2 linked regions of the Caenorhabditis elegans genome follow. The protein of the gene in region 1 purifies or fractionates together with the protein of each later gene. This does not show direct contact. Each region holds a gene or a part of one and is shown in the gene's direction. Other genes may lie near its edges. The genes, in order: T06D8.2 and F23F12.13.

What was found.
Region 2: the proteins of T06D8.2 (region 1) and F23F12.13 fractionate together in Caenorhabditis elegans (co-fractionation; one large-scale study listed by BioGRID). This does not show direct contact.

What each region holds. Positions count from the first base shown.
Region 1 is NC_003280.10:11,224,999-11,228,923, forward strand, and holds the start of T06D8.2 (UVR domain-containing protein), read left to right. Parts: upstream 1-1,680; coding exon 1,681-1,769; intron 1,770-2,320; coding exon 2,321-2,461; intron 2,462-2,507; coding exon 2,508-2,646; intron 2,647-2,697; coding exon 2,698-2,877; intron 2,878-2,922; coding exon 2,923-3,064; intron 3,065-3,121; coding exon 3,122-3,189; intron 3,190-3,236; coding exon 3,237-3,324; intron 3,325-3,381; coding exon 3,382-3,654; intron 3,655-3,707; coding exon 3,708-3,925. Other genes in the region: plpr-1 (Phosphatidic acid phosphatase type 2/haloperoxidase domain-containing protein), read left to right, coding at 164-340, 394-536, 1,074-1,245.
Region 2 is NC_003281.10:6,493,564-6,497,488, forward strand, and holds the start of F23F12.13 (Major facilitator superfamily (MFS) profile domain-containing protein), read left to right. Parts: upstream 1-2,109; 5' UTR 2,110-2,117; coding exon 2,118-2,207; intron 2,208-2,253; coding exon 2,254-2,333; intron 2,334-2,389; coding exon 2,390-2,643; intron 2,644-2,934; coding exon 2,935-3,080; intron 3,081-3,180; coding exon 3,181-3,311; intron 3,312-3,362; coding exon 3,363-3,681; intron 3,682-3,861; coding exon 3,862-3,925.

The sequences.
Region 1 (3,925 bases):
GTTTGATCAAAATGCCATGCTCGGCGTTTTCATTTCTGCTTCAACACTAAACAAAAAAATATTTCAAATATGTTAAAGGTTGTCTAAATAGAGCCCGGGTACCCCCAAAGAATCAAAAATTCGATCATTGAAATTTAAATTTTCAAAATTTAATTCTCTCCAGCTCTACATCTACTACATGATTAACTTGCGTGGAGCCCCACTTCTCCGCCCACTCCTTATCTTCGGATTCATGGGACTCTGCATCGTCGACTCGTTCTCCCGTATCAACGGATACAAAAACCATTGGCGTGACATCTGGGTCGCATGGGTCATCGGAATCTTCATGGCTTGGTTCTTGGTGAGTACCTTTAGTAGGCTAGAAATGCAATATAATCTATGATCCTTGTTCAGTGCTACTGCGTCCTGTGCTTCCAAGAAGTCTACCATATGACTATCGAACGTACGCCGATTGTTCAAGAGGAGCGCGTCTCGCCGTTCTTCAGTTGGTTTAGACTTCCACGTGTTCAGGCTCCGTCGGTGAAGGAGGAATATGTGTAAGTTATCAGGTTTTTGTTAGAGTATCTAGGGTTTCAAATTATGGGCTCAAATAAGTTGTTGCTTAGCTTTTACTGCGGTTTTATTACCCATAAGATTTTTGGCTTTTGACATAAAAATACAGTATCGGGTCTCGAAACGATCAAGACCTCGCCGATACAGTATCTAGAAGGATTTCGAAATTTCTTTGAATTTTCTACAAAGTCATAGATTTTGCAATAAAAAAGGGAATCAGACAAAAAATGTTAATTGTATTTTTCTGTCCAAGGTCGCAATATTCCGCAACATGGTAATAAGTAGGCAGGTATAGTGCGCAGGCGCAACTTCAGAACCTGTCTGAACCCCGCCTGCCTATCACCTCTATTCTACGTTGTGGCGCGAATTTACGAGTTTCTAATATTCTTGTAGCTTTAAAATTTGAACTGCAGCGCCAATTTTTGGCGTTCTAGAATGGTCTAGTTCAAATACTTATACTTTTCCATATTTCCAAAAGTTAGGAAACATCCAATAAAATATGTCCAATCACCTAATTTTAGCGTCTACGAGGAAGACGTGGAGCGGCCGAACGGCACACTGCGAAACCGTCATAACCAAGGAAATCGTCAATACGAGGTGACGACAACAACGGAATCCTTCCATAGAACCATCAGTCCACAACAGCAGCAACAACAGCAGCAGGGACATCAAAATGATGGATATCGGTACTAGGTGCATACACTATCAAAATCTCATATCTCTAATTTTCTCCAATCCCAGAAACCCAGTTTTTTTCTTAATTCTGTTATGCTCATCAAAAAGAATTTCTCATCTCTTTCTCTCCCGCTCTCACTTAATTATTTTTTAAATTAATATTTAATCTAACTATGATATTTAAATAAATTTCTCTTGTATGTGTATATACCGTGCTCTTAGCGGAATGCGGCATTTTCTCTATGTCTCTGAATACCCGGCAGTCTTTCGCTTTTTTTGCTTTTACAATTTTTTCGTTTATTTCTTTTTTTTTGCTTTGTTTTGCACCACTCAAACCTTCAACAATAAATTATTCAAATTTCGTATGTTTTTGTGCCCGTCTTGACAACAGTCTCCATGGAGCTCGTCTGAAGATGGTCGAGATGTGTTTTCGTTATATTAGTCATAAGTCGTATGCAGCTGGAGTACGTTGTCTCGCATATTGGCGGAGTGCCAAATTCCGATAAACAGTATCTTTTGGAGAAACAGTGGGTTTCTGAAAAGTGAGTTTTGAAGAATTCCAGTAGAATTTTGAAAACTATCAACTGAGAACAGATAAGATTAGTTGCAGTTATCAACATTTTTTAAAGTATGTTAAAACTTTGCCGTCACTTTTATAAGTAAAATTTTGTCTGAAAATGTATGGAGGGTTATTTAGGATATCTTGGTCATGTTGGACTATCTGAAATTTGTGAATTCGTACAAGTTTTGGCAATAAGCAGGACTAGTAGTAGGCAGGCAAAATTAAAAAATATATCAAGTTTCATTCAAAAATTTGAATTTCCGCGTAAAGGCAACTTCTTATGAAATTTTAATTCAGCCACATTCATTCATTTTCGATCATTTTTGTGGCAAAAATCTAAGTGTTAGCGGATCTTTTTGATTTTTCTTGTATTACAGTTTCAAAACCGGAGCTACTTTTTTTTCAAGGTCCTATTTTTCCAACAAAAAAAATTTGCTCCCAAAAACAAAATTTCAAAACACTTCAGAGTTCAAGAATAACCAAACATCTCAACACAAAACATACTAGAATATTCATTTTTCTGATTTTCAGATCCCTTACCTTCCCAGTGGAAATTGAGCTTCATCTCCGTCAAAAGAGTGAAATTGAGAAGATAGAAATTGTTGCCCATAACAAGTTCATACCGAAAAAAATCTCGATATACTCTGGCCGAGACGAGGAAGGATATATTGGGTTTGTCAATTATTAAAGTTAGTAATCTTAGCTTCCACATTTCCAGGGATGTTCAGTTTAAGAGCAGGAAAAGTGACGATCAAAAGTATGAGCTGAAAAATGTGTTTCTTGATGAAATTTGCTCCATGTTGCTTTTAAGTGTATCAGAAGCCCATGCAGATGTTATCAATAATTTGGAATCTTTGGTTGAATCTTTGTAATTCAAAAGATCTAGTATAAAGTTCAAAAATGTTAAGGTTGGTCTAGTCGATGTCAAGCTTTTTGGTAAATATCTCCCATCTGACGAGCCCATTGAAGCAGATCCTCGAGATTTCAAACCGGGGATTCCGCAAAATGTGATTCCAGATCACAAATATTCAAAAGAACTTCAAGCAATGATTGGTGCAATAGAGAGGAATAAGCAGACGGCTGTTGCGGTAGGTAGGTTTTAAAAAAGTGGAGATCAAATTGATAACTTGTAGAATGAGGACTTCAAGCTAGCAAAATCAGCTCAACTAGCTGTTCGGGATTTGAAGAAATCTACAAAAGAAATGGAAGAACTGGAAAATGATAAAGGCGAGGCTGTAGCTGATGAGGATTTTCAAAGGGCGAATGATCTACAAGGTATGTCACTGCTGCATATCCAAACTTCTACTAATACCCCTACTCTTCAATTTTCAGATGAAATCACTGCGTTACGATCGAATATCCTTGCATCAGTTGATCCACGGTTGCTGGAGGATACCATGGTTCGTAATTCTATAAATATTATTTCACTAACGTTTAGAAGTTAAAGCCGAGAAATGAAGAGATACATCGGCCAAAAAATCTCTTCCCAGAGAACTCGGAGCTGCCTTCCAAACCGAAGCTTTATCAACCAGTTGGTGAGTTTTTTCAAAAAAAAAGTTTAACACTTAAAGTTAACTCCAACATTCTTTCAGACCTTTCCCCAACTGAAGTTCAAGCTGATCCATCTACTGCATTCCTTCTCCCACCTAGACCACCTTCTTCCAGTTCTTCCAGAAGAACTGTAACCCCGAAAAGACCCCAAACAAATGACTCCGTGTCAACTAGAAGAAGTAGTACAACTTGGGAAGTTCCGATTCGGCCGACTACTATGAACTCTCAAATTTCAAGAAAAAGGACTCCATCACCAGTTGTCAGAAAGGCTCCGAGTTCTTCATCATCGAATTCCACTTCTTCTTCTTCAAGACGTGAGCGACTTGAAAAATTAATTTCAGAATGTCAGACTGAATCCAATTTTCAGGAAGAAGCAATAGTATTGGAATGGGAACAAATAAGTTCCTTGAGAAAGAAAATATGATTGTTCCAGCCGCCTTGAACAGAAAACGATCGTCTTCTGTACATCTAGAATCTCAAGATTTTGTGGATAAATCCACGGATGATATAACTGAAGAGCAGGTTCTTTCGATGGTTCCTCCGGATCAGCGTGGAAATGTTAGATCAGCAATTTCACTTTTTGGA
Region 2 (3,925 bases), on another chromosome or scaffold:
TTCCGACGCCTGTACCAAGGCTGCTAATTTGGCACTTCATCCATTATTCAGAGCATCTAACATTTATCAAATGATTATTTCATATCTTTCAATTCTCCCATTGTTTTATTTTTTAGCTTTCAAATTTTCCAAATCAAGTTTTCATGGAAATTTGAAGGTTATATTTTATTGCTATTTTATAACATTAATTTTATTTTCGACAGTATATGGAGTAACCGCGGTCGGGCTGTTAGTAATTTCAGTTTTAGTACAATTGGAAATATTTCAGACAATTCAATTTATTCGGCCACTCACTGCTATTAGGAGTTGTGATCTAATAGTTCCTTCACTTCATCATAAGATCGGAAATCTTCCCATCTGTTTTTTAGTAACACTTTCCGCGTACTTCCCGTTCACAATTACAGTTGAAAGATATTACGCAATGAACAAATCTGAAAAATATGAGAAAATGCCAATCATATTGGGACCACTTTTTGTTTTATTCATTGTAAAATTGGAGTTAAAGATCAAGGATAAGGTAACATTGTTTCAGGTTATTGTCAATTTCGGAGTAATTTTTCAAATTTACAAAAATGAAACGTTTTCTCATGGCGATGTAGCATTTTCTTTGTATCCTCCAGGCACGGCTGAGAAAGTTTGAAAAAAGGTATACTGAAACTTTAAATAATAATAACTTCAGGTATTCACATTTTATGTGGTATTATTTTTAATTAATCTACTTGATGTCATGTTTAATTTGGTTCTACTTCGTAAAAACATTAAACTTAAAAAGAAACTTACTCATTCTCCTCTAACTGCAAAATATCAACTCGAAGAAGTTTATCAGACTACTAAATTTTCTATTCTCTTAATTTTAATTTATATATTTTCATTTGCAATTTAATGCATCCGGACTTATATTTTTCCGGTACTTGGGGAATCTAATCATCTCTGAACCAAACTTGCTTTTTGGTATTCGAACAATATTCGCAACGGTTACGAAGATCAAAGAGCCTAATTTTAACTGAGAATAATTTCCAGATTGTACCTACCTATCACTTTATAATTGGAATTTTCTCGATTTTATTCTTCAATCGAATAAAATCAAAGAAATGAGAACGAGCAACTATTCAAATGTCTTCAACTGGAAAATCTGGAGCAAATAATTATGATCAAGCTATTTTTAGTATTTGGAATTCCATTTCTGCCGTAACTGATAGAACTGTTACATTGACTTGAATACTTTGAACTTTTGTGTGACTTTTTGCAATAAAAGTAGATGATAGGATTAACTTTTAGAGCATCATTGAATCAAAGAGAAAATGAACATTTTGATCGACTTGGACTTGATAAGAAATTTAAAGTTGCTGACTGGGTATTTGAAAATTTTAAAAGTATGGAAGCCATAACTTTCGTAAGCTGAAAAAACAAACTCAATAAAATTCTCCTTCAATAATTCTACCTCGTGAAAATTGCTCGTCAAGAGATCAGGGAAATAATGTTCTGCAATATCGAAAAATAGGAAAAAATGAATTTATTGCAGTTTTTTCAAAAGCAGATTTTTCTTGCTAAAACTCAAGATGGGATATCTTTTTAGGATCTTGTAGTGAAATATGAAGACCATCTAACGCTATATTTTTATATAATTCCTCGATCTTGTTTGTGTCTATCGTATAGCGGTCTTAGGTTAACGAGTTTTTCGCAAAAAATGTTTTCATTTTCAGTTTAATAAAGAAAAAAAGAAACATAATCTATAATGTTTTGTTTCATTTTACCGGCAGCTAAAAAATGCCGATTCTCTTTCATTTTCTCTCGTTTTCAGCTGATAAGTCCCAATAGTTTATCACGTTTCAAACTGATAAGAGATTGTTCGGCTTGTCACATTTTTCTTAGTGTTTGCACCATAATCGTAATTGGTCTATCATTAATCACAGGCTGACCATACCTACCTTTTTTTACTAGAAAAGTATTCAATTAATTATGCAAAATTGATTATGTAAAATGAGGCTGCAACTTTAAAATTACCAGTCTTCAGTTATTATTTGAAAAAGCTTCCATTTCTTTTATTAAGCAGTAAACTTGAGCGAGCACACCAATTCAATACCAGATTTTTTGTGAAATTATTAAAATTTTCAGAAATGTCATTTCTCAACACAAATCGCTTCCACTGGTTATGTTTTTTCCTTTGGCAATTTGCACTTTTCTTTTGTTGCCAGCAAATTTTTTCGGTAGGAAAATAATTGAAAATTGCCTTGTAATCTTGTTTTTTTTCAGATTTTCTACAATTTCAGTCCAGGCCTGTCTTGTGATGATCCCAGTTTTCAGTTTTCAAAACCGAAATGCAAGCTTTCAAAGTAAGTTTGCTCTGAAATTTGGGTTTTTCGGACTACGCGGAACATCTTTTTTTCAGATCAGAAATATGCTCAGAACTCACAGCAAATTGCTCTAAAATAGTCATTGAGGAAGCTCCTTTCCACTCAATGGTTCAGGATTTTAAAATGTTTTGTGGAACAAAAGCTTATGATGCTGCATGGGTAGCCACTATTCAATTCATTGGAGTTCTTATTGGAGCTATTACTTATGGACATTTGGGTGATCATTTTGGTAGAAAACCTGTTTCATTTTTTGGAATCTCTGTGGGAATTTTGTTCGGAGTAGCTTCAGGTTGGCATTTTGAGAAAATTAGAAAGTATTACTTCAAAACAAAGTTGAAGATTATATTCTTATCAACCTTTCTATGAAAGCAAATTATTCAAAAAGTATTCGAATAAGGCGGTGGACAGCTATTGAGATTTTCCCGCGTGGGTTCGAATCTCATCCTGATCGAATACTTTTTGCAATTCTTACTTGCTATGAAACTATTGAACCGAAATTTCTAACACTACAATTTCGAAAAAAATCGACTTTCACAACTGCATTCTTGATTATGGAAATTATTATTTTTCTCTTTTTCAGGATTTGCTCCATCATGGGAAGTTTTTGCCGCTTTCAGATTCATCGTTGGTACTTCGATTGCTTCAATTCTCATTGTATTCTATGCATATATTCTGGAGTTTATTGAGCCTGAGCAAAGAGTTTTCTTGAGATCTTTCTTTAATTGGGTAGGTTTTCATTAACCAGTAGTGCGACTTTCAGGCACTTCTCGAAAAATAGATAAATATTATTTAACTGAATGCAATAAATCTTATATACAATATTTAGGGTTATGCTCGTCTAGTTTTCACTCTTGCTTGCTTTATCTGTGGCTACTGGAGATCTGCTGCAATTGCCACATCACTTCTTTCACTCCCAATTCTTCCAGTTCTTTTAATCTTACCAGAGTCCCCGAAATGGTGAACCCTCACTTTTCTTAATTAATTATATTTTTTAATCTGAAGTTTTAGGTTTAATACCAAAAAGAGATTTCGAGACGCAAGGGCGGCTGAGAAACGTGTTGCATGGCTATCAGGGATCCCATACGTCAATGACGAAGATCAAAGTATAGAAATATCTGAAAAACTAGAAGAGAAGAGTACGAAGATCTATACAATGAAAGATTTATTCACTTCCTGGACAATTGCATATCGTACAATTGTGGTCGGATCTTTGTGGTTCTCTACAAGTTTATCAGCGTTTGGTTCTGACTTGAATTCTGGGAATTTGGCTGGAAATTTTTATTTGAGTCAGTTTGTGTCCGGTGCGGTGACCGCATTTGCAAAAATTGTGAGTGCATTTTGAAGTTATTAACTAAAATGTAAAGTAATGATCACATTATTTTCCTAGTTGTACGTCTCACTTAAATTTAGAATTGAAGCTGTGTCTCAAATAGACTCAGAAATAGTGAACAATATTTTCGGCCGAACTTTGAATGTTTTATAGCACTTTTGTTAATAATTATTTCAGTTTGTATTCCTATTGGATACCTATGTTCCATCATTTGACCGTCGGCGTCTACACCAATATCCTC